4 linked regions of the Drosophila melanogaster genome follow. The protein of the gene in region 4 interacts with the protein of the main gene of each other region in a pairwise test. Each region holds a gene or a part of one and is shown on either strand. Other genes may lie near its edges. The genes, in order: mmd, TwdlB, sov and Neos.

Region 1 (8,766 bases), on a different chromosome or scaffold from region 4:
GTACTTAGAATCTGAAAGAGATGAGTTTAATTGTGCAATTGATATATATATATATATATATATTTTTTTTTTGTAGACATACGGCCGTAAAACTCTGCAAGGACAACGTTGAGAACTTGAAAGCCGTAATCCTTACAGGCTGTTGACTGCAGAGGATCATAAACCAAATCTGGTTTCGGATTCGCTTGGTTGTTGGCGTGAACGATTGTATCTCAATGCGATCGGATCCTTCCCACTGGCATTCATACAGAATTTGCGCTGTTAAGGTAGACTGTTTATCGGAAATAGTTTATTAATATATTAAAAAAAAAAACAATCTACATTCTTGCCTGTTTTATCAATGCGTCGCCATTCTCGCAAAGAACGTATAATTGTGAAAGGGCCGAGGATATGTAAATTATGAACTTCACATAGTCTCCAATGAACATATTTTTTCCCTTATGAAGTTTAGAAAGAAAAGCTAGTCATTATATTAAAATATTTACTGCCAATGCTTACAGTAACTATTTGAAAGCCAACCATGCAAATAAGTACGGAGGAAATCATTAGATTGGCCAGTAGAATTGGGTTGAAAAAGTCCTCGAGGCGCTTAGCAAAACTATTGGCAAAATCAAAGTAACATGTAATGGAATCATTGTAATAGAGTCGTTGTAATAGAATCATTGTAATAGAATCGTTGTAATAGAATCGTTGTAATAAAATCATTGTAATAAAATCATTGTAATAAAATCGTTGTAATAGAATCATTGAAATGAATCATTGTAATAAAATCGTTGTAATAGAATCATTGTAATAGAATCGTTGTAATAGAATCATTGTAATGAATCATTGTAATAGAATCATTGTAATAAAATCGTTGTAAAAGAATCATTGAAATGAATCATTGTAATAAAATCGTTGTAATAGAATTATTGTAATAAAATCGTTGTAATAGAATTATTGTAATAGAATCATTGTAATAGAATCGTTGTAAAAGAATCATTGTAACAGTATCGTTGTAATAGAATCATTGTAATAGAATCATTGTAATAGTATCGTTGTGATAGAATATTTGTAATATAATCGTTGTAATAGAATCATTGTAATAGAATCATTGTAATAGGATCATTGTAATAGAATCATTGTAATTGAATATTGGCACGATACCAACCTGATAATATTGTTGTGTTTTTCCACAATACGTTTGAGTCGCTCCAGCTGAATGCTCTCGGCCAATTCCGCATTGGAACCCGCAAATAAACCTGCGATTCGTTGGTGTAGCAAATGAAATTGGCCACAAGTGTAGGTTATGAAGAAGCCAAGAATGGTGTCCTCTGCAAACAAGGTGGTGACCACACAGATTCCCGCGTAGGAGGTGAAGATGTAGGTCATCACATATCGGATCCAACTGCTCTGGGCATCGTACGGAAAGATCATCTTGTAGGGAAACGGCTTGTTCTGTGCATCGAAGGCGGGTCCAAAGAAGATCTCCACCAGCGGCAGGACACAATACATTATGATCAGGCACGCTAGCAAGGATGTCATTATGCTGAAGGTAACCATGCGTCTGCGACACTCGGCGGCAACATTGTTTTTGGAAGAACTGGAACCCATCATATATTTATATATGTAAATAAAGATTTTCTTACAAATACAGTTTGAAGATGGGTATAGTTACTCAAAAGTCTATATTATCTCAAAACCACTTTAAGTGTCCAAAAGCATGCTTAGAAAGCAAAGTTTGCTCTTTTGCACACAACAATGTAGCACACTTTTCTGCGCATTTACTCAAGTAAGATTGCAAACCTCTATAGTTTTCAATGCTCTGCAGTTTAATGCGATGATCATTTAACATCGCTTATAATAACCCTAATGAATCGACTCACTTAGGTATCCAAATTTCGTAGGAAAAGTTCTCAATAAGCTGGCGGAATTTCCTCTGATTGAGGCGAAGATGGATGAGTCGGACAAAGTTCAGGACACCCATAAAGGTGGTGCAACAATTTTCCGTGGTGATAATAATGTCCGAAAGGTTGTTCAGCAAAAAGGCCGTCTGATAGCTGATTGTTATGCCCACAGATGCAATGACGTACCACGCCCACACGATGTAGGCGGTGGCCAATAAGGATTGGCTCCTCCATGGCCTCGATGATTCGGTTAATGGCCAAGAACCATTCAGTTTCAGCCAAACGCACTGAATGGGAAAGCTAAGTGCTTTGTAGGGATACGAATAGAACATGACTATCTGATAAATGCCACAGCACTAGGTACATCTTAAGGCATTTCTTTCATTTATAGCTTACCAACTGCGCCCTAAAATTACCACTTTTTTAATCATTTACCCTAATTGCACAGTAAATATTTTAGAAAGCGTTTGCACACAAGGCATATACTTACCACCTCATTAAGTGCCGAATATGAAATTTTGATCAAACGCATTTTCCAAGGAGGTGTGTGCCTGTGAAATCCATTAAACTATACTACTTGTGTGTATTTTAATTTTGCTTTATTTTGAAGAACAAAGTGCGTTTTGCTCTCGAAAAATAAACAGGTAAACAGGTGCACATATTTCAATTTTGTTTTCAATTTAATATATTCAAATTAAAAAGCAAAACTAAAAGTATAAACATGCAACCTGCGCCTGAAATCCGTAACACTTTTAGATATATATATATTTTTTTTTCAATTTCTTATACATATTATTTCATTGTAATTTTCCATGATTTTCCATTTATGTATGTTGGCTAACAATGCGGTCTGTATTTATTTTTAGGCTTTCATTCGCCCAAACTTCATTTCGAAACCAGTTAATTTAAATCAGGTCACTGCTAGCTGGGCGTAAGAAGGATATAGCTTCATTCAATTAGACGACGGGGGCGTGGCCAATCTGTGGCGTGGAACAGTGTGGACCCAGTTCTCTGTCCATTGTTCTGGCCAAGATCTCGACGGCCAGATAGACAGGCAGCCAGACAGAGATACAGAGAGACAGACAGACACGGCTAGATGGAAACGTATGTAGAGGCGTAGGTGTATACTACACTTCCTTTTACAATTACGCACCTTTGCACGAATACAATATACCCTTTTGCTCCACATAACGGACATAAACAGACGTACCCGGATTGTAAGACTCGTTGGGGCCAAGGAGTGGATTTTTTTTTTACCGACTTTCGGCGAGAGAGCCAGCGGCTGAGTGCCGAACACCAACCAACATCCATCCGAGGACCAAAAGGATGTGGCCCACACAGCCCGAGAGAGCCAAGATGCTGAATTGTGACGTGACAATAGAAGCGGAGAGCGAGAGATGTGGCCACTCGGCTGGGCTTGGTTTGAGATATATTGGTATGGGATGGGATGGCCGGGATTGGGAATCTCCCAGTTGAGATTCCGGTGCTCTGCGACTGCGTCGTATTTGGCTGACTGAAGAATGGCTGGTCGACTGGGTTGGCTGCCTGGTTTGCCTCCGGTTGGAGGCAATCGTTTTTCGCCTGGCCAAAATCCTGCAGACGTGTTCGAGAGCTTTAGAACGTTGTTTGCAATTGCGGAAAGCGGTTAGCGAGGCACGAGACACGGCGATAGTTTTTAATAGAAGAAGCAGCAGCAGCAATAAAAAAATAAAATAAATTAATACAAAAAACACAAAAAACATACAAAAACCAAAAAAAAAAAAAAACAAACAAACAAACAAAACGAAATACGAAAGCAGCAGAAAAGAGTGCAGATGCAGGAAATAGCCGTATAGTTCGCAGCCAGCGGAGCAATAGTTTATTGAGGAATAATCCCCGAGTCGGCGCCCAAAAAGATCCAACAAATACCCCAGAAACACAACTGAACAACCAGCCCAGGCAAAAGTATATACATATATATATATATATATATATATATTAACAAAGAAATTCGTTTTCAAATCCCAACACACCGTGAACTTAGAATATATATATATACATACGCGTATATATATATGTATATATATATATATATGGAAAAAAGTAAAAGAAAAGAGGAAAAACGAAATGCCGAACGGGTGGGCAAAATGTGAAAACCCAACAAATAACTACTCAGAATCAAATGTTTGATATAGTAACGTAACGAAACGCAACGCAACGCAGCTCTAAAATCGGCTACTAAATCAGCACATTCAAATCAAATATGGAAAATACAAAAATAGAATAAATATATATATATGTCTATATATGTGCACATATATGCGTGTATATGTATATGCTGATGGCGTAAGGATGAAAAGATCATAAAATACATATTTTATGAAAATTTTTTGCATATTTTTTTTACTGTTTGGCCAAAATAACAAACTGAGTGTGTTCATAAAGCAGTACAATGTAAACTTAAAAGCAAACTTAAACGCAAAACGGATAACAAATAATTCATAACTACTCTCCAACTACTGTTTCAATGGATTCTGGTTTTGATTTTTTTCGAATTTCCCGAATTTCCATTGGTGAGTACCGCAATTACGTTTATGTATTTTATATCTATCAAAAATCGCTACACATCCCATGCATATATATATATATATATAGTATATTTCGGTATATGTACATGGCCTCAAGGATTCCAAACTCTGGCAGATGGAACTGAAATAGTTTGGCTAGCTGGATAGTTGGATTGCTTTATGGCCGTAATTATACGGGGGAGGGGAAAATGTATACTTGGTCCAAAACACACACCACATGCCCAACATACTTACTATTATTGCGAATATGGTCCAACTCCCGACTCTCGAGCGGAAATGAGGCGCGGCTGACTGCGCATGACCAATGAATAATAGCGATACAGAAATGCTTTTATCCCACACTTTGTATTCCAATGCATATCTGGATATCCTCTCTCCATCTCGACGTCTCACCGTCTCTCCATCTCGTCATCCCTTCTCTGTCCATGCCGCTCCATTGGCATGCGAAGGAATTTGGAATTTTTTTTTTTTTTTTTTTTTTGGCAAAAGGACTCTGGCAATTCGAAGTGTGTCAGGACATCATCGCCTTTTTCAGCGTCGCTTGCAATGGTGCGCTCCTCCACCAACGCCAACTGAAGACACATTTGTTCACAATTATTTGGGGGTCTGGGCATGCGTTGCCATTGACCCATCTAACCACCCGCAGTTGTGCACGGCAATTCAAATCTCAACGTGCCCCAGTGCTTTCGATTGTTTTTAAACAATTAAATCCACCGCATAATCCCATGCCAGCCAAACGAAACACGTAACCGGATTTGAGATGATGGCAAAGTGATTCCAGGATGATTCCCCCTGCTGAGTCCTTGAGTTTGTGAGTTCTCGTTTAATGGTTGGTTAACTCGTGAGAAATCTGCGCTGGCAGTAAAGTAAACAAGCAGCGGGCAATTTGTTTATCAATCAAAGAAATGGTGTCGGAATTCCGCATTCGCGAGTGTGACAACGCCCAAATGTTTGCTGATCCATAAAGGAGAAGAGCTCCGCGATTAGATCGCCCTACCTACCACCACGCATCCTTCGAAGCTCGAACTTCCCTATCGTTTGGTAGCACATTGACTCCAGATGGACTTATTGGGGGCACAAATCAAAACGCGGCAAAACAATGGGGCAAAGACACAGATTAGGTCAAATAACAATGCTGCTATACACACGAAGAAAAAGGAATGAACTTGTGAGGGAAACTAAAGATGAATGGTTTGAATACAATACAGTTTTCTTTGCATACATTTAACGGACTGAAAAAAATCTTTTAAAACTGGTTATGCTAGGGAAAACATTATTTTTTCATATCCTGTTAACAAACATTTGGTATTTGATTAGTTTCCGGAATCCTTGAATTTTTCTTCGAGTGGCAAACTTATGGCTCTGCACCAGATTAGAAGCCATGACCTACGATTTGATATAATCAATCAAGGCTTGACTTGTTGCCTGTTCAATAAATAGTCAGGATATTCAGAATTCACAACAGTTGAAATCATTTACAAAACGCGGCTTTGTATGAGTAAATCTTTTCTGCGTGTGTAAAACTACAAAATGCTGCCCAATGCTAGTGAGTCAGATACTGCCAAAAAAACTTGTCGGTATCATGGAGTGAGCCAACTTTTTGAGAAACATAATAATGAAAGTTTTGTCAAAACGAATAAATTGGGAAACACTATACGATGGAGCTTCAGCTTTCCGTGCTGTTGTTACTCCATTTGATCGGGAATAGTTTTAATCAAGTTTTAATTGGCAAAGTTGCACAATGAGTGCAATCATTAGTCAGCAGACAAAAAATTGTGTGGCTGGCAAGAGGAATAACTCATTTTATTGGCCCACAGATCCACATCCGCACACATGTCTGCAGTTCCCATCTTTGGAATGCCGTCTAGTCGGAGGCTGCGCATTCGGTCTTTGGAGAGCCAGCCAGCCAGCCAGTCAGCCAGCCAGCCGACGACCACGACTCTCGCGTCCTTAATTTTCATCCCTTTATTTATTTATTTTCCTGTCAGCTGCCGCTGTCTGGTGTGTCTGCCCAAGGTTTCTGTTTCGCATTCTGTTTCTGAATTTGAATCTGAATCTGAGACTGAATCTGAGACTGAATCTGAGACTGATTCTGAGTCCGTTTCGGCCGTGGACGCCCACGACAGCGAGGGAAATATGTGGCCATCCGGAGAATAGATTAACAGGATACACCAGTAGTTAGGGACCTCAGCTCATCTACTCATCTTCATCTTCATCGCCCCTTCATCATCATCATGGGGGCTCATCTCATCTTGGGGCTTTAAATTATGCGACTTGAGTTGTGTTTGTTGGTAAGATGTTGTCATATGTATGCGACCAGCCACTTGGCCTGGAGAAGTACTCATCAAGGTGCCCAAAAGTATGCCACAATGTATTTAAAATGTGCATTCTCAACTCTTCAAGTTCCTTATGCTTGGGAATTGCTTGGGTGGTGTGTTTCTGAAAAATGGTCCATATATTTGTAATATATCATCAGAGTTATTAAAGCACACGAAGAACTGTCTAAAAGTATGCTACAATTGTGCGCAATTATTATACTATACTATGTCTGTTGGTTTAAACTTAACTTATGAAGGTTTCTAAAACTTCTAAAAGTATAAATAGTTAAGTTAAAATATTTATATGTAAAGCATACCATTTTTTCTGCTACAAATATAAATTACCATGTTTATACAATACTTGCATATATTATTTATGCCATATTAGCTTAGCACTTTTGACCGGTTTTTAAACGAATGACATAAAATCATTTGCACTAATAATGTCATTGGCTGGTGAATAAACTTTGTTTGGATACAGCTTTCTATTGGTCGAAGTTGCTTGTTTATTACATTTTTAAAAGTATATAATTGGATTTAGCTGAAATTTCTTAGATAATTCAAACACTCTCGCTTGCCATACGCAAATTGTGATATGCATTCATCTTTTTAATGCAATTAAATGTTATGACAAAACTTTGAAAATAAGTTACTTCTCAGTTGTTGTTTTATAAATTGAAACCATTCTCGTTGTTATCCTTTTCGTTAGTCCTTTTACTCCTTGTAATTTTCCATGTGGGCCACTGTCGCCTCCTTTTGCGGCAATAAATTTACTCACTGCCTTTTCGCCGAAATGACCCAAATTTCAGGATGCCCTCCATATAAGGGAAAATTCAATAAATTATTGCTAAGCCTTTGGAAATTGTGCAGAACCTGTTGATTCTGCAGCCGCCGCAACTAAGCGCTTAATTAAATTTTAGTCGGAATTTTCACGTATATGTATACGCATTTGATATTTTGGAAACAGGCAAAGTCAAAAAAAAAAAAAAAAACTTATCATATATAATATTATTGCCAATAAGATACTATTTATATTACGTTTTATTGAAGTCGAGCACAATTTCAATATCCCTGGATTGCATAAGCTTATGTTTGAAACAAGTAATTTGAAACTGATTGCTTGCTGGGGCAAAAGAGAAATCACAGTAATTGCAGTAAAAGCAAACATTTAATTTGCACGAACGAACACTTAAACAAATTAGCTGACTACACTTAGAAAAACGTATGATACAAAACAAAAACATTACTCGAATATCATTTGAAGCTAAGTGTAAACTACATTTAAGAGAAATTGTCACAAATTATATATTTTTGAGAGCGATTCTAGCTTCGAGTTTCGCTCAGTGTATGCAATAACTGGCGTCAGCAGCGCAGCTTCCAATTTTCCCCTTTGATCCTATAAATTATGTTCGGTTCTGCTTTTTAGTCTCTGATTATCTTTCGGTGCATACGATTGCTGAATTCTGGACGGACGAGTGAATTTTCGGATAAATCCATCGGTGTGATTAAATAAACCATATAAGGTGCAACATCAGTTCTTTTTTTTCATGTGACTACTTCAAGAAGGTTAAGGCATCCAAAGCGGGCGAAGCCGATAAAAAAACAGTTGAGAAATATTCGAAATTAGTGTTGCTTTTTGGAATCTTGTTTGAATTTTTTTTAATTGATTCTTAATTCGATTGTTGCAACTACTCGGCGACATTCGAATCTGCATTACCATTAACAATCGCATTCGCAATCGTCTTTCTTACCTAATGAATATTAATTATTTAATAGGATTTTTCAGCTAATTGAATCTGCTTTCTACCATTTCTCTGTCACCGCTAAATGTCTGTCCTTGCCTAATTAGCGCAAATTAAAATTGTGGGCTGTGGCCTCGGAACGCTCTTCACTGTCCGGTGCCCAACATTCAGCATTTAGCATCCAACATTCCGCATTGAACATTCACATTCACACTCACATCCACATCCACATTCGCATTCGAATCCACACCCA
Region 2 (7,329 bases), on a different chromosome or scaffold from region 4:
AAACAGAAAGCAACAACAAACCATTAACTATCAATGGAGTTCGCATAGATTAAGATTTTATCGTTTCGTAGGCGGAACTCAAAGAATGCATCACATTGTGTTCGACTTTAATGACCATCAGAACATTTTTGGACGGGCTCTGACTTTTTTTTTGGAAACGGGTTTGATAGTTTTGCAGCATTTTCCCCAATCGAATTCCGGGCAGTTTTGCCCCGGTCAAGAATAAATCGCGGCGCCATGAACCGGTCGAGAATTTGGCTTTTGCAATTGGGCAGAAAGTCGGGGGTCGCCGACTGGATGTATTGGCGAGAATTTTAGGATAGTTTGCATAATCATTTCATAAGCGCACCGCTTTGCATAAAAAACTAGTTGAGTTATGTAGCAACCCGACGGGAATGGTGTCGGTTATAGTTCTAAGTCGGTTCTAACTACGCCAGATGGGTATATAAGCTGCTCACCTCAGTCTCAGGATTCAGTCTTGGCCTTTGCCTGTTAAGCACACCCAGCCTACAAAACCAAACCTTCACCATGCGTTTCCTCATCGCTTTCTGCCTGATTGGTGCCGCATGCGCCCAGTACAACTACGGAGCGGGATTTACCGGAGCCGCCTCCGATAATGTTCCCAGTTACTCCGGAAGCAGTGTTGGCGACTCCTACGATGGTGCTGCCAGCAGCCCGGACTACTCGGTCTCCAGCGAACTGAACAAGGAGTACTACACCTTCGAGGCTGACGAGAGCCAGTTCGAGGATCCTCTGGCCGCCCAGAAGATCGCCGGCTCCGTGAACAAGGGACTCCGCGTGGTCTTCATCAAGGGACCCGAAAACCGTGGCCTGGAGAACGCTGCTCTGGCCCTCGCCAAGCAGGCTGCCGAGCAGAGGACCGCCATCTATGTCTTGAACAAGCAGACCGACATTGGAGATCTGGCCCAGAAATTCAATGCCGCCCGCCAGAACTCCAACCAGCGTCCTGAGGTGCACTTCGTCAAGTACAGGACTCCCGAGGATGCGGCCAATGCCCAGCGTGCCATCCAGTCGCAGTACGATAACCTGGGAGGATCCAGCCAGTCCATCAACGGAGGAGTTGCCAACGCCATCAACTTCGCCTCCGCTGCCCCCGTGGTTCCCGCTCGTCGTGGCCCCAACTACTCCCCACCAGCCGCCGCCACGAGCAACTCCTACCTGCCCGCCAACATCCTGCGTCGCCTGCGCATCCGTTAAGGACCGAACGAAAACCGACAGTTGTTAAATGTGTTGTATAAATGTAATTGAATAAAAAACGAAAATCGATAAAAACAAATACGCTTAGATTTATATATCTATTTTTAATCTAGATCTTCGAAGTTTCTGACTTTGTCATCGGCCATTGCAATTTGTTTGTTTTTTAATAGCTTTTCCTTATAATAACATTTATGCAAAGCTGAATTGCTCTGCGAGCCCGAACAAAAGCCGTTCGCTGCCTACTTTGTAGGCGGACAAAACATTTAGCAGCATCAGCGCTTTGTCTTCGAAAAACTGCGCCGCCAGCTTCGAAGTTGGGTTAGTATATATAGTTACCGCCGCCGTGGTCATAGGCAGAAGCAATTTGTGCTCCGAACCAAGAGAACCTCAAACCCAAAACTAAAGATGCGCGCCTTCATCGTAAGTGGTGTAGCCAGGACTTAAGACGAATTCACAACTAACGGATAACCCTTGAATCCTGTAGGTAATGTGCCTGGTGGCAGTCGCCTGCGCCGATAAGCTCGGCTACAACTACCAGCCCGTGGGACACTCCAGCTCCGGACTGTCCTTTGCTCCTGGAAGTGGCAGCATTGGAGGTGGATCCATTGGAGGTGGTTCGATTGGAGGAGGCTCCATTGGAGGAGGATCCATTGGAGGAGGCCTCATTGGTGGTGGCTCTATCGGAGGCGGTTCCATTGGAGGTGGTTCCCTTGGTGGTTCCATCGGTGGTGGCTCTATTGATTCCGGTCTTGGCGGTCTTGGTGGACTCGGTGGTCTAGGAGGTGGCGACGCTCTGGCCGCTCCAGTCTCCTACAACGCCCCCGCTCCCGCTGCTGAGCTCCAGAAGGAGTTCTTCACCTACTCCGCCAACGAGCAGGACTTCGATGAGCCACAAGAACTGGAGCGTGTTGCTGGATCCGTAAACAAGGGACTGCGCGTTGTCTTCATCAAGGGACCCGAGAACCGTGGTCTGGAGAACGCTGCCCTAGCCCTCGCCAAGCAGGCTGCCCAGCAGGAGACCGCCATCTATGTCCTGAACAAGCAGGCCGATATTGGAGATCTTGCCCAGAAACTGAACGCCATCCGCAACAACAATAACAACAAGCCCGAGGTGCACTTCGTCAAGTACCGCACTCCCGAGGATGCTGCCAACGCCCAGCGCGCCATCCAGTCGCAGTACGACCAATTGGGAGGATCCTCTCAGGCCCACAACGGTGGTGTGGCACCCGCCCTGAACTTCGCCTCCGCTGGTCCCGTCCAGAAGGCTAATGCTCAGATCCCTGAGAACGCTTACCTGCCCACTTCCATCTTCCGTCGTCGTTTGTAAATATTTTAACGACTTCGAGATGAAGGCGTTGACTGTTCTTGTTAAATCTTATTGTTGAAATCTATTGATAAATAATATACAAAAATCTGAATACAAACATTCTATGATATTTTATATTGGATGGTGGTGTAGTAAACAATAGTGTATACCTTCCGATGACAACATGAGTGGAGTTACAAGTTGGGCTTTTAGAAAATTATTTCAGTCTTTGGTGAGATTTTTCGACCTGTTTTTATTGCACAAAAAGTTTGGTAATGACTTTTAATTTGAATTTATTCTTAAAAAGGTGCAACGCTATTAACTTAATACAAAGCAAAAGACCTTTAAAACTCATTAAGAATTTGGTAAGCTATATTACCCAAGGCAGCTTCCCGATGACCTTGACGTTTAATATTTGTCATAACCAAAATATTATCCTACGAAGTACTGGGAAAAGAATAAAATAAAATATTTCCGCATATTTTAAATGTAGGCAAAATGTTTTTACGACAAAAAAGTTAAATTAAATATAAACATATCGTTTTCACCACTCTCAAGTTAAATTTTTTATTTCATTAGTAATATATGCGAAAATAAAGAATCAATGAACTGGGGGCGGCATTTCAAACATCTCATTAGACGACTTGCTAAATTTAGCGCTTGCATCATGTCCATAAATCAGAACTAAACAGATGTGTCGAAAACGATTATAATGACTAAACGATTGTCATTCAGTCGGAAAAACCAAGTGCAGATGTCCTACATAAAACAAGCTTTTAGCCTTGCCGAAGAATTTGTCAAAAAAATGTATTTTATATAATACTCGTACCTAATTATGACCCATCTGCATGTTAAACTCATTCCGACGTGCTCGCGACATATTAATTTTATAATTCAATATGAATTCTTGTAAACTATTGGACGAAACTCGAAATATTTGAATAACCCACGACGGCCAGACTCTGCCCATTGAAACGCAACCAAAAAATTCCACACCGAACATTAAAAAAAACAGAGGAAGCAAAAACCTTTGTAGGCGGCAAAACACAGTGGCTTCAAAGAAATCTCCGTGCAGCAGACGCCGCGGCGGTATCTTTGTCTTTATCAGCCTCCAAGATGGATTTGTATAAATAATAAAGATCGCTCCTAGCCAGAGACACAAGCAACTCATACCTCAAAGCAAAAGAACCAGCAATCTGCTTAAGATGCGCGCATTCATTGTAAGTAGCGCGGTTAAGGATTCAAAGGATTATACGCCAGGATAACACTTCTCTTTTCATGCCTCCAGGTCCTGTGTTTGGTGGCAGTCACCTGCGCCGATAAGCTCGGCTACAACTACCAGCCCGTTGGCCACTCCAGCTCCGGACTGTCCTTCGCTCCTGGCAGCGGCTCTATCAGTGGTGGATCTATTGGAGGAGGCTCCATCGGAGGAGGTTCTATTGGAGGAGGCTCTATTGGAGGAGGCCTCATTGGTGGTGGCTCTATCGGAGGAGGAAGCATCGGAGGTGGATCCCTTGGTGGTTCCATCGGTGGTGGCTCCATCGATTCCGGTCTTGGCGGTCTTGGTGGACTCGGTGGTCTAGGAGGTGGCGACGCTCTGGCCGCTCCAGTCTCCTACAACGCCCCCGCTCCCGCTGCTGAGCTCCAGAAGGAATTCTTCACCTACTCCGCCAACGAGCAGGACTTCGATGAGCCACAAGAACTGGAGCGTGTTGCTGGATCCGTAAACAAGGGACTGCGCGTTGTCTTCATCAAGGGACCCGAGAACCGTGGTCTGGAGAACGCTGCCCTGGCCCTCGCCAAGCAGGCTGCCCAGCAGGAGACCGCCATCTATGTCCTGAACAAGCAGGCTGATATTGGAGATCTTGCCCAGAAACTGAACGCCATCCGCAACAACAACAACAACAAGCCCGAGGTGCACTTCGTCAAGTACCGCACTCCCGAGGATGCTGCCAACGCCCAGCGCGCCATCCAGGGTCAGTACGACCAGCTGGGAGGATCCTCTCAGGCTCATGATGGTGGTGTTGCACCCGCCCTGAACTTCGCCTCCGCTGGACCCGTCCAGAAGGCTAACGCCCAGATCCCCGACAACGCCTACCTGCCCACTTCTGTGTTCCGTCGTCTGCGTTTCTAGGAAGGCTACATCTTGGACTCCATTAACTTAAGCAAATCTCGACTGAAGAACTCATTCTTCCTGTTACACGTTGTTGACTAATGCATAATTACACCAATAAATTTGAAATTTAAATACGAAAATTTAAACAAAGGTCTACCTTATGTGTTTTATAGAGTGAGATTTTTATTGCGGCTTGGCCATAGTAGCTAATGGTGCATTAAGTCCGCCTTGTTTGGCTTGATTGTTTGCGGATGGGTTAAGTATAAAAAGTGCCCTTCAAACTATAAATATCTCGAATTGACGACATCAAGATCAGGAAAGGCAGTTCGGAGCAGGTTTCCTTTATGAGTTTAAGCCCTCGTCGAATCATATTCACCTAGACTTTCCATACAAATCAATGGACTAATTATCTGACATAGCCAACTCGCATGCCGCCAAATTAATTGACTACAAGATTAGATCCACCCACTTGGCCAGCGGGAAGCATTAATACCGGACTCCCGGCCAACGAGGAACTGGTTCTTTCCCGACGACAGCTCAAGGTCGCGAAGATGCCAACAACTGTTAGATGACCTGGTTTCCGAGGCCCGTCGTGTGTCACGTACAATTAGAAAGGAATCTCAAGTGCAACCCACATACGAAGGCAATGAAGATTTATGCCCAATCGAAACCTGATTAGCCATAAAAACAAAGTCTAATCATTAATTTTATTAAGCTGACGATCACTTTTTTGTTGAAATCATTAACAAATAAGCGGTTCTGTATACATATTCAAGCAAATATAACAAAACAATCCGATTGAAACAGCCAAGAGATCGGTTATTTTTCTTTTATTTGTGCATAAATTATAAGCCAATTATGGGTGAATCACGATAGTTCGGAAAACGACTGGACTCGCAATCGGATCTTAGCTCGGACTCGGACTTCGATTCGGAATCTCATCTCAGTCGGCGGCACGATTGAAGCTGTCTTTTGCCCACAACAATGTGTTAAATGTGTTAAGAGCGAAATTATGTTAGCAGATTAACAGCATTCCGAAAACCCGATGGCCAATAGCCACTGGCCATTCGCGAGTCACGATTCGTGAGCGGAGATCGATGATCGCCGTGTTCCGCCAGAGGGACCCCAAAGTGACTAGACGGCTCAATTGACTAGATTTTCTAGTCTAATTTTAAACGTCGTCGCGTTGGCGGTATAAAAGGTAGATAATGAATGCTATATTATTCATTCGTCTAGAATATCTCGTAGGCATCGGGTCAATATGCGTGCCCTCATTATTCTAAGCATTGTGGCAGCGGCAAGTGCCGGTAGCTTGTCCGGATATAATTACGGACAAGGTGCGACAACCAGTATTGGGGGCAGTGGTGTATCCCCAGTCCCTGCACTGGCGGGACCAGTTAGCTATAGTGCCGCTCCCCAGGCGTCAGTTCACAAGGAGTTCTACAGCTTCTATGCCAACGATGACGACTTCGAGGATAAGGCTGCTCTCCAGAGGGCTCTTGCCTCGGTCAAGAAGAACATTCGCGTCATCTTCATCAAGTCGCCGGAGAACCGTGGCTACGAGAATGCCGTTTTGGCCCTGGCTAAACAGGCGGCCCAGCAGCAGACTGCCATATATGTGCTGCACAAACAGACTGATATCAACGAGCTGGCCCAGAAATTCAATGCCGTGCGCCAGAATGCCAACAAGAAGCCCGAGGTGCACTTCGTCAAGTACAGGACACCTGAGGATGCTGCCAATGCCCAGCGGGCAATCCAATCGCAGTACGATCAACTCGGCGGCTCCAGCCAGTCCATCAACGGTGGCGTGGCTAATGCCATCAACTTTGCATCCCAGGGAGCTGCTCCAGCACGCGTTACTCCTCAACAGGTGCCCCAGAGCAACTACCTACCCGCCAACATCCTGAGTCGCCTGCGTCACTAGAAAATCGATTGTTAAACGTTGTTTTCGAATAAAAGTTATCTAATTTGGTTATGTAAATTATTGTATTTTCATTTGGTTAATTCCTTTAAAAATTGACGAAAGCAACATAAGTATGCAACAGTTTTCAAAATAAATTGTATACCTATTTATAGCAGCGATAATCGAATAAAAACAGAAAGAAAGAAGAAAGAAGAAATAAAAATACTTGTTCAAAACCCAAGATCTCAGCAGCCATAAACTGGTATTAAATTTTGAATATGGTTAAAGTATAAACTAGTTCCTAAGAAATATATAAGTGCTTCTACTTATGTGCGCTTTCAAAGTTTGCAAGAAAATATTTCGCTGCAAATAAATCCGAACTTGCGAAGTTTCGTTCCCAATGAACTCAGCCTGCAAAGTTTTTTGGTTTTTACAAATGCACTACAACAAGTCAAATTGGTTTTAAAATTTAAGAATTGAATTTATTTAAGCATTAGTCAACAAAAACTACGATTTAATATCAGTCAAAAATCGCTGGCGTTTTCGATTCCGAAAGGAGTGAAACGAGCGACTTAGACGCGACGGAAGACCGAAGATGGCAGGTAGGAGTTGTCGGGGCTCTGGGCGGCGGCCTGACGCACTGGAGCGGCGGAAGCGAAGTTCAGGACGGGGGCAACACCACCGTTGTGGGCCTGGCTGGATCCTCCCAGCTGGTCGTACTGACCCTGGATGGCGCGCTGGGCGTTGGCAGCGTCCTCGGGAGTGCGGTACTTGACGAAGTGCACC
Region 3 (8,787 bases), on a different chromosome or scaffold from region 4:
GAACCACTTGTGTTGTATGGGCAATGGGAGTAAGGACAATTTTTATCTTGGAGATTTTTGGCGGCTTATCCTTCTCTTCAGTACTCTTTTTATGCTCAGTACCTTCCTCCTCCTCAGTACTCTCTTTCTGCTCAGTAATCTCCTCCTCCTCAGCACTCTGGCTTTCTTCTGTAACCTTCATCTCGACATCAGCGAATTTAGTTACTTTCATGGATTTAATCTTGTCGATGGTATCATCCTCCGATTTTTCCTTGTCAGGCTTTGCCTCCCACTTTGCGCAGTTCTTTTTAGTCGGATTTTCCAACTTGTCCTCAACATCATCATCTGCCCGTCGCTTTAGTGCAGGGTTTCCAGTAGACGAAATGGGAGTCTTTATTCTAGTTCCGGACATTCTACGGTTTTTGGCAAGGATGTCCAACTCTTCACTCACTGACTGGTCCTGTTGACTGTCCTGAGTGCTGGTAGCTAGCTCTGGAACTGGAGACGCGTTAGTCTCGCTAAGAGGCGGTTCATTTTCCACATTGTCTGTATTTTCCGAGCTTTCCTCACTGACCACGCTATTCGAGTCCACAATCTCGAGGGGGTTCTCAACCTTTGATTTCTTTTCAGGCTCCCTGTTCAGTCTCTTCTTCTCCTTTTTGTCGGACTTGTTCTCCTTGTCATTTGCCTTCTTATCCTGCGATTTTTCAAGCTTCTCAGACTTATCCAGATTGTTCTCCGACACCTCATTGCCCTTATCTACCTTGTCTTTAGCCTTAGCCTTATTTAAATACCTATCTTTATTCTTATAAGTATCTTTGTCCTGGTTGGCATCACAGCTTTTGCTTGTGGGGGAATTTGAGGGGCAGCTTGGATTCTCCCCATTACCATTGACTGGACTTGTTGAGGTTATTGTTGTTGCCGGTGGGAGGGTTTTCTTCGGTATTCGAAAGTCTAGCTTCTTGTTTAGCACCCCCAGATTAACGTTGCGGTAGGAGGTGTCCAATTCCGGAACCTGAGTCACTGCGATCGTCGACTTCTCCGCCTCGCTCTCCTCCGGCTTTTCCTTTTGCTGTTTATTTTTTTCTTGGGCTTCCATCTCCCGCGAAACTTCCGTTTCTAATTGGCGTACCTCCGCCGCAGCCTTAGCCTTGGCCTCCGCCGCAGCCTTAGCCTTGGCCTCCGCCTCAGCCTTAGCCTTGGCCTCCGCCTCAGCACGGGCCTTGGCTTTGCGGTGTTCCCCATATGTGCGTGGCACGTCATTGTGTCGTCCAAAGCCCCGTTTGTTGTGACCGCCGCGAAATCCGCCCCTGAAACTATGCGAACCATTAAAACCACCAGCATATTCATTCCCGTTTTGATTGCTAGGAAAGGGCGGTCTTGGGTTTGGACCGTTTCCATATGGATTGCCACTCCAGTTCGCAATGTATGCACTTCCATTGGCGGTAACATTCTGATTCTGATTATGATTATTATTATTTTTACTATTAGTTTGCCCTCTATTGGCTGACTCTTCGAAACCGCTGTAAGTGCTTATAGAACGACGCGGGTCACTGGAATACGGAGGAATTTGTGCCTGTGGCGCCTGCTGATGTTGCTGCTGTTGGGAAGTCTTGCTCTTCCAGATACGAGGGTCTCGGGGTTCTCGGGAATCAGTGCCATAGAAGGACCTTGGTTCATGTGCCAAAGCATCCCCAAAGGCTCGAGAATCTCCCGGAGGTACCGAGTTGCGCTGCACAGCATGCTGGCCTGTAAATGCGCTTTCCTGGGGAACATTTGAAAATGAGGCCCACGTACCGGCCTTCATCCTTGGTGGCGGCGGAATAGGCGAGGGAGTCCGCATAGGCGGCGGGGATTGCAGCGCTATACCCAAGTCGTTGTCTTTATTGTTGTTAGTTTCAGGCAGGTTTATTCCTTTTCTACCGCGTGGATCATTTATATTGGAGGCCAGTGGAGGCATGCTTGGTACCGTTGTTCCTAGTCCATATTTCAAGGCCGCCAGCTTCTTGCGGGCCTCCTCAAGCGTATTTGCTGGACTTGCAGTGCTGGCACTGACCAAAGCTGGTAGACCCTGTACCGACAAGGATATGGGCAAGTCTTTTTTGGATTGCCCTGGGGAGGCCTCCTGTAGAGGAGCATGCTGCACAAGCGATGTGCTTCGTCGCTTAAAATCTGGGTTTTCTGCTCTTACCGATATTTCTGAAGAACGGCAGGTTGACTGTGACGATGTTGTATAAGATCGCCGCGAGAAGTTTGTCTCTAGCTGCGTTACACCGTTAGTTTCTTTATCAGTTTTCTGTTCGCTAGCTCGCTGCTTCTTCTCTTCAATTAAGGCCTTCTGCATGACAGCCAGAAATCCACGACTGCCACGAAGGGAGGAATGCTTAAGCGCCGCTGGTGATGTTGGTTCTGGAATGGTTGGTGTTTTCGTATCTTGAACTATAGCTTGAAGGGCGGCACGTGGTTCTGCAGGTGACCGCTGCCCCTCATCCGATGCCTTGGCGCTGGTAGTTTTTGGGATGTTCAAATCCATTGAAGTGGCTGGAAAAACTGAAATCTTGGCAGAAATGGAAGAAGTCTTTATTTTTGAAGTTGAGCAAGAGACTTTAGAGTTGCGCTCCAATTCTAGTTGCTTTGGTGTCGATAGATGGTCCTTGGTAGCATCTGATGCGGGGTTAAGTGAAGCATTTAACCTGCCAGCCAGAGATGAGCCGTTCAACAGGCCACCCTTATCTGAGGACTTCGCTCTTTGAGCTGGTGGTTGTGCGCTTGACCCGGAGGAACTCGACGCAGTGGAATCATACTCAGTGTTTTCAGTGATATCAATGATTTCGCCAGTGTCAATTTCGATCCTCTACAGACCGAAAATTAGGGTTAGAACGTGAAGATGTGGTCATAGCTGTGGCGCATACTCGACTTACCGGATTGAAGCGCGTCCTTAGCTTATCAATGATCACCTCGATCTTGTTAAGAGAGCTCATCGATACGTCCCTGAAACGAAGGAGTGGATATGATGGATAACCGAGTTTGGTGGGCGTCCCTTGGTCCATGACTTACTCGCGATCCAGCAGGTTAACCAGGGCATCCAGACGATGACCCTGAACCTTGGACAAAGTATCCTGGAAGTCTATTCGCACACGCCGGATAAAGGGCACAAACTTACGGATCTCCACCAGCTTGGCCTTTACCTTCTCCTTCATCGAGGTATCGCAGCTCACCACCACCACGTCGTCCTCGCTATCCTCCATTTTGCAGCAGGCACTGTTCGTATCCGACTCTTCTGAGGGTGTTTGGTGTTATTTATTACATTGGTTAACTATGCGGCATGGTTTCAATCTCAGCACTTCCTACACTTTCCGCTCACATCACTCACCGGACGAACACAACTAGTGCGCCATGAATATCCCTCAAAACTGCGACTTCTTATATAAGAATACGCAATGTATAAAATAAAACACATTTCCATTCATTTCTTGGAACTTAATTAACGTTTCTAAAGGAGGCAGCACAAAACGGCGTCGTCAAAGGAATGACAACAACATCTGTGGCGTCGAATCCGAGGCGGGTGGTTTCAATAACAATCGATAACTCCAAACGGAAATAAAATATCTTTATAGTACGTTGCGATGCAGCCCGATGCAGCCCGCAAATCAACTCCCATTACTAAAATCCCTAATTGTTTTTAAAACTAACAAACAACAAAACAAGTATCTCACAAATTTGCACAACGGACTATCGATAATTCTAAAGTGCCATCACTACTCGCGCACCCACTCAGTCGAAGTGAATTCGCCGCACGCGACAGTTGTGTGCGTTTGGCAGTGCCCAAGTGTCATTGTATTGGTGCGTAAGACGATCGATTTTTTCGCTGTTGTTATTGTTTTTGCAGACTAAACAATCTTTCGACGTTGCGATCGATAGCGTAAATAAAACAGCAAACATGAGACATAAGCACATTCCATACATACGCCGTCCACAAATCCCGTACCTACAGAACGAAGCAGATAGCACAATAATAATATAAACGGGAAGCGTCTACCTAGTTTTCTACGAAACGATGACCACACGCACACACACACACATTTAAACTTTCAGCGACTCGACTCTTGCGCATATCTAAAAGCCCAAGGAAGCCAAGAATTCTAAATCGACGTGGCAGTACGCGCTGATCGAGAGTACAGAACAGACCGCCTAGAAGAGCAACACTGAAACCATCCAACCCTATTATTGTTGATCATTAATCATATTTAACCCGCATTATCACAATATATCTGTATGGGATAATGGGATAATTAAACTTATGTACCGTTTCAGTTTGAACTCTTCCAACACACAAAACATATTTAGTAGGCGCCACTTCACAGTATTACGAACAATACTTCTAACACGACTCATGGTCTGGTTCGTCGATCGGCGAATACCAAACACTGTGTGCCATTTAAGTCTTGATACACCAGCTGATATAAACCAAGCCAATCGCGATCCTTATTATGACCTTGATTTTTAATATAAATCAATAGGGTTGGAGCACAGGAAGGTCTAGTACATAATCTGAAAATGTGTTCGCAACGACGGAAGCATGTTGTTCTTATCCTTGATAACTATTACTGTAGCACTATCATCATTTCTTTCATTTGAGGAATAAAATATCCATGTTTACTTTTGTGGTTTCATTGTAGTAGGTAGAGTACAAGGTCAAAGTACTCAGTCCACGCAAAACCAACAACAAATGGTAACCCTCGAGTAGCGATGGGATTTTTTCAGCAAAACGACTACATTCCTTTACGAATGAACCAATCGGTGTTCTTGTGGATAGAATACGGAACTTAGCTTGATTCTTTTATCTATCAGCTATCAAAGTCCATTTGCTATGCTTAAAACGTATAAGCATTTACTTTAAGCTTGATTTAAATAAGTATTTTATGCACATAGTGAGTAATCACTGCATTTATTTGTGCATTTACAGATATTATTAAAAAAAAAAGGTCAGAAGTGCCTTTCATTTTCCAAATCTGATACTCTCAAGTAGTTTTCTTTTTCCTAAAAATAAAGTATGTGGCAAGGTATCCATATTTTGTGACAAAGTAACTCTCGTTGCCTTTTACAAGTTCTAAAAATTATACAGATCATCCTTGCTATTCTATTTCTTTATTATATCCGTTACTTGAAGAGTAAAAGGGTACTAGATTCGTTGAAAAGTATGTAACAGGCAGATTGAAGCCTTTCCGACTATATAAAATATATATATTCTTAATCAGGATTAATAGCTGAGGTGATCTGGCCATTTCCGTATGTTCGTATGAACGTCGACATCTTAGAAACTATAAAAGCTAGTAGGTTGAGATTCAACATACAGATTCCAGAGACATGGACGGAGCGCAAGTTTGTTGACCCATGTTGCCACGTCCACTCTAACGCCCACAAACCGCAAAAAATTGCCCACGCTTTTGAACCTTTTTTTCGAAATTTGTTCATAATTTTATTAGACTTGTAAATTTCTATCGGTTTGGCAAACAACTTTTGGCCACGCCCACTCTAACGCCATAAAGCCGCCAATACGGTCACTTTGGGAAAATTTTTTCTCATTTTATTCCCCAATATCTTTCGATATCCCAGAAAAATGATGAAATTTCGCGTTCGCATTCACACTAGCTGAGTAACGGGTATCTGATAGTCGGGGATTTGACTACAGAATTCTCTCCTCCAACGATTTAGAAAAAGTGGGTCACTTTGTATTTTGGACTTTTGAAACATCGGTTTTTGGCGACACAAATGTAGCATTCAGCCTTTAGTGCGCTAGTGCGCACTACCAAACACACTATAATAACTATCACTGTATGCGTAGAAAAGAGCTGTTTGCTGTAGCGCTCTCCGCTCTCTCGCTCTCGAACAAAAAATCGAGAGAGCCTGGAGCCACCTCTAGAGCCATGGCGAAAAAATAGTGTGCCAAAAAATCGTATAGCGTTACGCATCTTGTCTTTGGCACTACCTTGACCGTTGGTATCGAATCATTGTGTCGCGTTTTCGTCATTAGAATGTGTTTCCTATCTCAGCTTTTTAGGTCGTTCATACGGACAGAAAAACGGACATAATAGTCATGGTTAAAATCCTATGTACTACATAAGGTCAGAAGAGTTTCCTTCCACCACAGTACTTAAAAAAAAAAGTTAGTAACGTTAGTAATGTGTGTATAAACATTTAAAGAAACGAAGTTATCATTACGCGATTAACTTAAATCCACTTTTCATAGTAGAGCTCGCAATACGCCATTATTGATTGTAAACGTCCTTTCCGCTCTCGTCCGAGAAATGATTTATGGAAGAATGTTTATATAAACGGCGGTTGGATTCTTCACACGATAAGTTCTGCGGAACACTTATGCAGACACACACACACAAACACAGTCGCAAAAGCTCGTCCACATAAGACGCAAACTCAAACGAACACAAAGACAAACAAGAGCACGACTTTTTTGCTGGCCTCTACAATTCGTTTTTGTTTTCGTCGTTGATGCACATTCCCGTTATTACAACTACCACTTGATTAGTAATATTCAACTGTACTCACTTTAGATTACTTTCCTCCGTTATTTCTGGAGTTTTGTGCGATGCTCAGCAATTTGGCCTTGTCTGCGGAGGTGTCGAAATACGAGCCGATCCGAACACTTCCAAAGTTGACGCCGAAGTGAGGGAACTATGCCCGTGTCTCACAATGCGCAATTGCCGGCGAATACGATAGACACGAATAGCAGAGCAAAATGCTCACTCTGCCAAGGCTACGTGTCTGCAATTCGCCGCGATGATTTTCGTCGTAAGTGAAAGTTGGGAAAAACTAGGGTTTTTCGTTTCGGGGAGAAAATTTTTCTTATTTTTTTGTAGATGTTACTCGAAGGAGCTGGCCATAAGGCATAGAAATGAAAGAAATTAAGCCACGTACTTTGATGTTGTTGTCATACATGCAACTATTTTATTAAGTTAGTTATCGATAGCTATCGATGGTTATGGACAAACAAAACTTTTTGGCTTAGATGCAACATGGTCATACTGAAGGAAACTGGTACGTTGCACTATGGGTAAAAAGCCGGAAATTTTGGTATTAATTACAATTTTAAAGATAGCATCTTGATTTTTTTTATATTTATAATTAGGATTTAAATAGAATTTCGGTTTAGAGTGAAAGTGAAAAATTTATTTATATACAAATGAAAGCTGTTTTAAAGGGAGATGGATGGGTGGCGAAGGATATGTGGGTGTTAATATGTCTGTGGTTCAACCGGTGGATCCGGAGGTGTCTTACCTGGGAGATTGGCGTGGCATATAAGGTTCGTATTTAACTGCTATTATTTGGTTTTTGGCAGTGTAGGAATATGGTCTAAGGTTTTTTATAGCCGCATCCAAATTTTGTTTTCCTTCAATATAAGGGCAGCACTATCCTTTGTTCAACTTTTTCTGCCAATTTCACAATTCAAAGCACCTCTGATTTAGCTGAAAGTGTCGCGAGTGTCGAACTCAATTTATGTTAACAAAACAGCACTTTATTAAAGTTGTACACTTGTAATCGCCTGGCGAATTAAGTACACAGTTATCGCGCTAAAAATACAGTGTTGCGGGAATCTCGGGGATCCATCGCTTAGGCCTATGATTGCTGGGTGCAAGGACACCTGCTCCGGATTCGGGCATATTTGTTAAGAACTGATATCTGATGTAAAGCAGATATCGAATTATCAGTTAGCCGAATTTGAAGCAGGTATCTTAACAACCTAACATAAAAATTGCATAATATTAATTAATAAAAAAAAAAAAACACTCCGGAGCTTAAGCTAATCTATAGTCTACTGCTCTCCGCGCCATTTTGTCGTGGCGGAGAAATCTGGGACTTGTCGTATCCATTGCTGGACATCTGCAGATGCTGCGGAAGTTGGGCAGGACGTCCGTTGGAGGGCAAGGTCTCGTCCACGGAGAACACGGAGTTGTCGTGTCCGTGCATGTGGCGAGCATTGAGCACGGCATCCGGATGGCTCTTCGGCGACTCCGGCTGTCCCACCTCATCAGGCTTGCCTTCCAGCAGGAAACAGGTGATGAAGAAGAGAATAGAACCTGTGACCAGAGGTGTTAGTAATATTGGTATCCAAAAGTGGCCAGATCAAGCCGACTTACTGATGCCGTAGAATCCAGCGTAGAAGATCATGATCGAACCGCGATAGCCCAGGATCTTGGCCACCGGATCCACCAGGATGGGCAGGTTGCCGCCAATGTTGTTCATCACAAACAGAAAGACGCCAATGGTCGAGGAGCGAACGCGCAGCGGAACAATCTCCACAACAATGGCAAAGACAATACCGAACCACATCTCGGCGAAGAAATAACTCAGGCCCAGCGTGATCATGGCCCACAGCGGGTCAAAGTAGACCGATCCGAAGGCTGGTAGTGTGGCAATTAGCTGGCTAACAGCCAATACAAAGGCGCGTGATCGAATGCCCATCTTGGCGACAATCTTGTCCGACACAATGCCACCGACGACCACACCCACGCTGCCAATGCCAATGGTGACCCCAAAGAGCCACCAGCCCAAGTCCACGTCGGGGAAGTACGTGTTGTAGTAGAGATCGGCGTTGTAGGCAAAGGTCATGCCACCGCAGTGACGGATGGACGCGGCAATCATCAACATGATCATTGCCGGATTCTTGATAACTTGCCACAGGCTCACTGGTTTGCCGCTAGACGTCTGGCGGTCACCCTCACCGATGGCCTTGCGCTCCGGCTCCCGCAAAGTGGTTCCGGTCAGTGCGGCCATAATTACGGTAAGGAC
Region 4 (7,593 bases):
ACGCTCGGCAACATGGATCTGGCGCTGATGCACTTCAGCTGGGCCACCGACCTAGATCCCAAAGGTGCCAACAATCAAATCAAAGATGCCTTCGACTCAATGGCTCATCCCAGCTGCTGTCCGGCCAACACTACGGCCCTGGACGTTGATCTGGAGCCCACTTCGGAGCGTTCCGATGACTCGACGCAGGCGCAGCAGGACGGAAGCTACGACAGCGACTACTAGGGAGCTGCAACTCCAAATTCACGCGGTTGTATATACGTTAAATGAGAAACACAGTAAACAAAAAAGAAAACTTAGTAACAGATACAAAAAAAAACCCCGATCGATTGCTGCTGTATTGTCGTGGAGGAAAGGAAACCAATTATGAAGTATGATAAAGTCTAGATAACGTTTAGCATTAGTAATTTAAAATATACAAAAAAGTAAATGGTTTAAACAAAAATTGTGCACTCTGAAAGTCTAAGGCAAAATAACGAAAAAGAAACAACAACAACAAAAAACAACAACAATTAAATACCACTTAAAAATATACAAAAAAAAAGGGAGATATACATTTTAAATGTTAAGTTAAAGCAACAAGGATCTTATGGGAATTAAATATGTTGGACTTGGACATTAAAACTATTCAAAGTGAAAACATTATACTACTGCTATAAGTTCCCCATCATATCTAAGGTACTTCCAATTCATCCTCTTCATGTTTTATCGGAAAGCGCAGGATTTGCTCGTGGCTCAAGCCCTGAGTGATATCCAGCACGCAGCGCAGTCGCTCCAAGTCAACGTTCAACATGGTGGCCAGTGTGGGCAGATGCTCCTCCAGCAAAATGTACTGACGCGGCCGCTGCATGGTCAGAATGCTGCTGATGTCCTTGGTGCCGAAGATCTCGCCAATGGAATCGGACAGCGAGAAGTTCAAGGAGACATCGGAGTCGAGATCCGATGGCGATTTGTTTACGATTTCACCGCGCCGCTCCGGAGTTTGGATCTCATCGGGTGTGAGGCTTAGATCGCTAAGTTGCATAGCTGGAGCAGATAAGGATCGTCTTCGAGTGGCACAGCTGGAATCCTCAGCGGGCGGAAGTTGATGAACAAAATGGGCGGGATATTTGGCAGGCAGCTTGGATGGCGATGGTGTGCTTCCTAGCTGATCGGTGGAAATTCTTGACTGCAGTTTCTTAGCCGGTTGCTTTGGTTTTCGACCACGTTTTTTGGGAGTGCATTGAATGCTTCTCCTTTGTGAATTCCTTTGATGAACTTCTTTCTGAATATTATTCTTCTTCTTTACGGTCTTTTCAACTTCATCTAAACTTTTGAGGTGGATAATCTTATATGGAGGCTTCAGGTGAACGATTCTATTGGAAGTTTTCAAGGGGACAACTTTATCCCGGGATCCAAGATGGACTAGATTATCCGAGGATCTCACGGGCACCAACTTAGCTGCAGGCTTCAGGTGAACCACTTTCCCTTGCTGCAACAATAGTTCACTGTAATCATCTTCAGTGTTTCCAAATAACTGAGGAGAAAGACTTTTGGGCGGAATCTTCTGCAGATCCCGGTTTTCCTTGTCGATGAGGCGCTGTGATCGCCGCAATGGGGAGTGCTGGGAGCCACCCATAAAGGAGCAGTAGGTGGAGGCCGGACTCGGGACAACTGTTGTCCTGTCCATACTGTTTTATACTACATAAAGAACACCAATGTAGTTTAAAACTATTATTCAATGCAAAATTATAAAAAAATAACAGTTGGCGCGATAGCAGGACTTATCAATTGAATAACAGGACCTTATTATCGACAAAAGCTTAGAGCTGCCACGCAATTTAATAAAGTTATCGTTCGTAAAGTTATGTCGAATTTAGATTTAAATTGAAATTGATGAGGTAATATATTTTTAAAATAAAATCCTATCACTTATTGTTGCTTAAACTAAAATTTGTTTCAAGAAAGACTATTATGAGATAGATCTTCGACTAAAAATAACTCAATACTCATAATGTTTTCATTTTTTTTAAGTTTGTTTATAAATTTAACAGTGGGTAAACAGTGAGTCCACCTGGCAACGCTCAATGCAGTATTTTTGTGTTACCATCTCCTTACCTGTAAGTATAGTGAATATATTTTCAGTATTGACTGCCATGCCGCATTGTTTTCAATCTGGTCACATCCAATGGCAGCGATTTTACGTAAAACCCTAATTGTAAGTAAAAAATAATAAAAATGTTCACTTAAAATCCAATGCCACCATGAATTTAGCTTGCGGGAAGCCTGCATAGGAGTTTTGCCTCCGCCGCCAAGGCCGCAAAAGCAAAGCCCGTCAAAACCAGCACCATTTCAGCTGTCGGCGAGTCCATCGCCGCCAAGGGGTAAGCACTTTCTTTAATTTATTTACATAAAAACCAAGTAAATATTCTCCTGATTGTAGCTTCTTGCGTCCCCATAAGCCGTACTCCCCACCTGCAGATGCCGCCGAACGTATTCGAACCGTAGCCGCCTCGCTTCAACTGAAATCCGACCAGTTGGGGAATCTCTCCGAGAAATTCGAATTCCTGAACGCGTGCTTCCAGGAGCTGCAGCACGGAGTGCCCAACTCCCAGGTACATGAACTGCGCACCGTCAGCGATGTTATCGCTTTCTACCAAACAGCTGTGGACACCACCGTGCCGTTTGATGCACTGAAGCGCATCGAGCTGCCGGAGAATTTGCACATCCAGTACGAGTACGTGCGATTCCATCCCGAGACAGATACCAAATTCGACGGCAAAACGGCTTTCCCCAAGAGCTCCACCCTAGTCACCGGTCTCAAGTACCGTGGAAAGTACGAGGGACACGAAGCCAAGCGATCCTGGCCTTAGAAACAGCCAATTGTTAGTTGTTAATGTCTTACACTTATTAAATGCATTCTGGAAGCCCGAGATTTACGTCATATATATTAGGTATTACATTTATTAAATGTTAAATATGCTTAATGGCTAAAATTAATGAATACTACTAAGTATTGGTAGTCTATAAATACTCGGCTAAAATCTGTCTGAGATCCGAGTTGTAAACACTTTCCAGGGCCGCCAACACTCGATCGTCAGCAAGTAGCTCCATTAGCCTTCTGTCCTCCTTGACTGCCTCGAAAGTGGGATACATGAGCTCGCTGGTGACATCGGTTACTGCCGGCTTGTTCATGATGCTAAGAATCTTCTTCTGCAGCTCGATCTCTGGATCGGGAGCTTTTAGCTTGGCCAGAGCATTGGCCTCGCCCACCTCTCGCTTCAGTTGCTCCTCGCGTTCGCCTTCGAGGTACTTAAGAATCACCTCGTACTGCGACGCGGTCAATGGATGATTGTCTGCCAGCCTTTCCAGCAGCCCCTGCATTTCCTGGGGATGTCGTCGCTGTCCCTTGTGTATGGATGTTGACGGCGGTAAGACGACAGCGTCGCGCTGTTTTTTGAGCCTAAAATCGGTGGAGATCAGGGTGATGGCGTCCTCCAGCGGCATGTTGCGATGCTCAGCGGGTACGCCATACAAAATGTTTACTGTGATGCTGTTGTGTTCCTCGTGCTGCGGCGTGACCAATACCGCATACAAGCAGCCGCGCGAAGAGATGTTGGCCAGGACCTTGCCTAGCAAGACGTCCTCGTTGGGAAAGAGTACATCCACGCGCAGACTGGAATTCTTTAGCCGCTCCTCAATGTATTCTGCGTATTTGCTGCAGGTAATGAAAGCCATGAGTATCGTCTGGAGTTATAAGGTATTGGGGATCATAACTTACGTATTCTCGCGATTTTGGACTATGATCTCGCAATCATTGATGAGGGGTTGACCTGCTGCCGCTGCCGCCGCTGACATCACAAGTCCACCCTGAACTGTCACCTGGCCTCCTTGATTTGAATTTCTTTTGGCGATAGCATTGGCCGCCTTCGATTTAATGCTGGCGTTGCGTACGGTGAGCATGTTTTGCTTAAAAGTGGACTTGTGCAGGGCGGAGGCGGCTTTATTGGCCAGCTCCTCCGTTTCAAACTGCACGAATCCGTAGTTCTTCTGGACCATCGAACCGAGCACTTTGCCATATGGCTGGCAAATGCTCACCAGCTCCTCGCGCGTGCAAACCGGCAGGTTGCCCAAGAAGATTCGACTCTTTGCCAGGGCCGGATCCTTGGTTATGTTGTAGCCGGCGCTTCCTGGATCAGACATAGATATTTGAAGCTTTCTACTGCACACAAACCCGAAACTGAAGATTCTAGTGTGACCCGACGAGGCAATGCAAAAATACACACCGCTGAATAGTTATTATTCAGAATTGGCATCAGTTTTAATAAAAAAAAAGGGTCGCTTGATTTCCGAACCTTCTTGCATTAACTTGCTTATTAGAAATTCAATTTACAAAAATGCCATGTAAAAAATCAGATACTATTAATATTTTGTTGTACCCCCCTAATATTAAAAAAAAATCCTATGGTCATACTAATGATGTTATTAGCGGCGTTGCCACACTTGTATATCAAGCAAATAAGAGCTTTCACATATAATTTTGTTTTAATTTGATTTAGAGGTTTGGAAGTTTTACCCACAGTATTATTAATGCTAGAAATTTTGTTTATAAACTTAGGATATCGCTTAGAAAATAAATGAAGCTTGCGCCTTAACAGCACGCTGTTATCATAACAGCACAATTGGATATTTTAGCGTCTTGCTTGTGATCGGTGCAGCCACACTATTTTCTTTCTTTTGGCTTTCGTTTCCGGCGAGGTACGTGCAAGAAATTGATGCTCCACGTTTTTAGCTTAAATTAATGTCCAATTCTCTATTTTAGCGTTGATTAATACATTCAACAGAAGAAATGGTGGGTTACCGATAAAAGTGCGGCAATGATTCCAGCAGGAAACTGACAAATAACCTAAAACGCCAACTGTGGCTCAGCCCACGTGCATTGCGAAGCTTCCTGGCGACGGAATGAAATAAAAACAAATTTGTGTGGGCGGCATCTAGTTTGTGAAGCTAAAATACCATGAAATAAGCAGTTTAACTGATCGGTTCCATGGATATGTAGTAAACATACGCTCGAATGCCGACCAATTGTTTTTCCGATCATAAACACCAGTTCTAATACGTGTGTTTCGTTTGCAGGGTATTGATATCAACCACAAGTACGATCGCAAGGTTCGCAGAACCGAGCCCAAATCCCAGGATGTGTACCTGCGCCTGCTGGTCAAGGTGAGGCTTTCGATGGCGTTGACTACCAGCTGAATGTGGAGATTAATCTGTTTTTTTTTCTTTGTTTGCCCCCGCAGCTGTACCGCTTCCTTCAGCGCCGCACCAACAAGAAGTTCAACCGCATCATCCTGAAGCGTTTGTTCATGAGCAAGATCAACAGGCCGCCGCTATCGCTTCAGCGCATCGCTCGCTTCTTCAAGGCCGCCAACCAGCCGGAGTCTACCATCGTGGTCGTCGGCACCGTCACCGACGATGCCCGCCTCCTGGTGGTGCCCAAGCTCACCGTGTGCGCCCTGCACGTCACGCAGACCGCCAGGGAGCGCATCCTGAAGGCCGGCGGTGAGGTCCTGACCTTCGATCAACTGGCTCTCCGATCGCCCACCGGCAAGAACACGCTGCTGCTGCAGGGCAGGCGTACCGCCCGCACCGCCTGCAAGCACTTCGGCAAGGCTCCCGGTGTGCCCCACTCGCACACCCGCCCCTATGTCCGCTCTAAGGGACGCAAGTTCGAGCGTGCTCGTGGTCGTCGCTCCAGCTGCGGCTACAAGAAGTAAGCGACTGGCTGACTGGACTGGATTCGGCATCCTTTTGGTTAAGATAATGATTTTTCTCGCCATCGCACGGCAATAAAAGAGTTTTATTCCAAAAGGTGAAAAAGAAAGTCCTTAATCTGTGCGGTAATCGGTTGTACTAGTGAAGGTGTGTGCTCCAGTAGTTAATAATCGGCTGATCGTGCGGCTGCACGCCAAGCACCTTCTTAAGTTTGCCCTGCACGCTGGTGGATTTGGCATGGTTGAGGCAGGTCACTTTGCTGTAGATGGAATTCAATTGAGTTCGGATCTGTGCAGCAAAATAGGACGGCTACTCACTTTTTCCACTCTTCGATGAGCACCTTGGTCTGCTTGTTCAGCACGAGTTCTGTGAAGTTTTTCTCCTCCACCGCCTTTAAAAGTTTCACCATAAGATCTGGCACTAAAGTGGGAGAATCAATAGAATCAATATCAATATCCCCGACTCGTTTTTATCAGTGAAAGCGGGAACGGATTGGATGTGAAGCTTACATTTTCGTGGCAGCTCTCCTGGCCATTTGACCGACACCTCGTGTCCGTTGACGTGTTTGTCCAGAAAATCGATCCGATAAACGGAGCTACTGGCCATTGGCACGGCTATGTCATTGGACACGGATATGATTTTGTACTCGGAGCTGATGGAGTGTTGATGTTGGGCATCGATTCGCATTAGATTGTGCATGGGCTCGGGCAGGAGTTTCTTCAGGCAGACCATGAAACGGAAGGTCTTTCTGGGATCACCTCTGACCACAATCTTCACCCCAGTCAAGGCACAATAGCAGACCGTGGCAAACTCCTCCTTGCGGACGACACTCTTGAGATGGCGCAACGAGAAGAACTCCTCCAGATCGGGATCGTCGATGCTCTCTATCATTGGCAGTGTGGAACTGTTGTAGGTGAGTCGCTGTGCGGGAGGACGGCCACTACTTTGTGGCGGTAGCCACGGTAGGTTGCCGAAGGTCACGTGCTCGGTGAGGAAGCGGGATCCGGCTAGCAGGAGCCACGAGAAGTGTGAGTGCAACTGGGCGAAGATGTGCTCCTCGCCTGTTAGCTCCAGCAAGGCACGGGAAGTGGGCATCAGGAACTGAGCGCCGGACAGACGCCTCTGTCGCTCTGAGTACGTCTGCTCCTCCGTCTCCTTGGTCTTTTTGGCAGCTGCCTGCAGCTCCGACGACACCTTCTTCAGGTGCTCCGCCAGAAAGGGCTTGATGTTAAGCAGGAAATACTTGTCCTTCATCAGCACAATGATGGAGAACAGCTGCGAGTAGCCGCGGGCCTGCAGGTCGCTCACTCGGAAGGTGTGACTCAGGATGTGACCCCTGGACGAATCGCCAAAGAACACGAACTCGCCATCCTTGCTGGCATCCGTACCATTGCTCAGACTGAGCACCGCCGCCTGCTTGACCAGACTGGCCACCTCCGGCAGCACCGCCACCTTGGTGCTGACGAATGTGGCCCCGCTTTCCGTGTCCCTGCTGTAGATCGCATTGTTATTCTTGCCCATGGAGTAATTGCAGGCGGAGCAGGTCTTTTGCGTCTGCTGTTCCAGTGACAGGTCCTCCAGCTTGGTGTCCCTCAGTGTCTGGGTGCAGAAGATGGCGCAGGGACCGTGCGCCTCGCAAAAGTGGCACAGCGCTATCACGGCGTTCATCGCTGCTCTACAGTTTCCTTTATATCCTTGGTTATGTTATTGTTTATTTTGTTAGTTAATAATACTAGAGTGACCAGTTGCGTACATTCACTGAAATACCAGAAATGGCGGTAAGAACATAGAAAACATTGCAGGGATTTCTTAAGCGATATTTTAAATTTTGCGGGAATA

The links.
Region 1: the proteins of Neos (region 4) and mmd interact in a two-hybrid assay, tested with the Drosophila melanogaster proteins (one large-scale study listed by BioGRID).
Region 2: the proteins of Neos (region 4) and TwdlB interact in a two-hybrid assay, tested with the Drosophila melanogaster proteins (one large-scale study listed by BioGRID).
Region 3: the proteins of Neos (region 4) and sov interact in a two-hybrid assay, tested with the Drosophila melanogaster proteins (one large-scale study listed by BioGRID).

What each region holds. Positions count from the first base shown.
Region 1 is NC_004354.4:15,967,877-15,976,642, reverse strand, and holds the start of mmd (mind-meld), read left to right. Parts: upstream 1-3,575; 5' UTR 3,576-4,438; intron 4,439-8,766. Other genes in the region: Or13a (odorant receptor 13a), read right to left, coding at 1-11, 83-271, 330-437, 499-598, 1,151-1,582, 1,866-2,218.
Region 2 is NT_033777.3:26,619,897-26,627,225, reverse strand, and holds TwdlB (TweedleB), read left to right. Parts: upstream 1-3,682; 5' UTR 3,683-3,729; coding exon 3,730-3,744; intron 3,745-3,812; coding exon 3,813-4,658; 3' UTR 4,659-4,775; downstream 4,776-7,329. Other genes in the region: TwdlO (TweedleO), read left to right, coding at 529-1,218; TwdlL (TweedleL), read left to right, coding at 1,624-1,638, 1,703-2,545; TwdlP (TweedleP), read left to right, coding at 5,902-6,564; TwdlM (TweedleM), read right to left, coding at 7,116-7,329.
Region 3 is NC_004354.4:6,754,460-6,763,246, reverse strand, and holds the start of sov (small ovary), read right to left. Parts: upstream 6,926-8,787; 5' UTR 6,547-6,925; intron 4,638-6,546; exon of another isoform or gene 3,756-4,637; intron 3,511-3,755; exon of another isoform or gene 3,353-3,510; intron 3,260-3,352; 5' UTR 3,228-3,259; coding exon 3,037-3,227; intron 2,971-3,036; coding exon 2,901-2,970; intron 2,834-2,900; coding exon 1-2,833. Other genes in the region: CG14439 (uncharacterized protein), read right to left, coding at 7,804-8,075, 8,136-8,787.
Region 4 is NT_037436.4:7,238,464-7,246,056, reverse strand, and holds Neos (neosin), read right to left. Parts: upstream 4,430-7,593; 5' UTR 4,183-4,429; coding exon 3,761-4,182; intron 3,698-3,760; coding exon 3,004-3,697; 3' UTR 2,918-3,003; downstream 1-2,917. Other genes in the region: Cdc27 (cell division cycle 27), read left to right, coding at 1-225; mei-P22 (meiotic P22), read right to left, coding at 674-1,669; mRpL50 (mitochondrial ribosomal protein L50), read left to right, coding at 2,168-2,197, 2,254-2,363, 2,423-2,852; RpL18 (ribosomal protein L18), read left to right, coding at 4,829-4,831, 5,116-5,202, 5,280-5,756; BHD (Birt-Hogg-Dube), read right to left, coding at 5,893-6,013, 6,072-6,174, 6,264-7,422.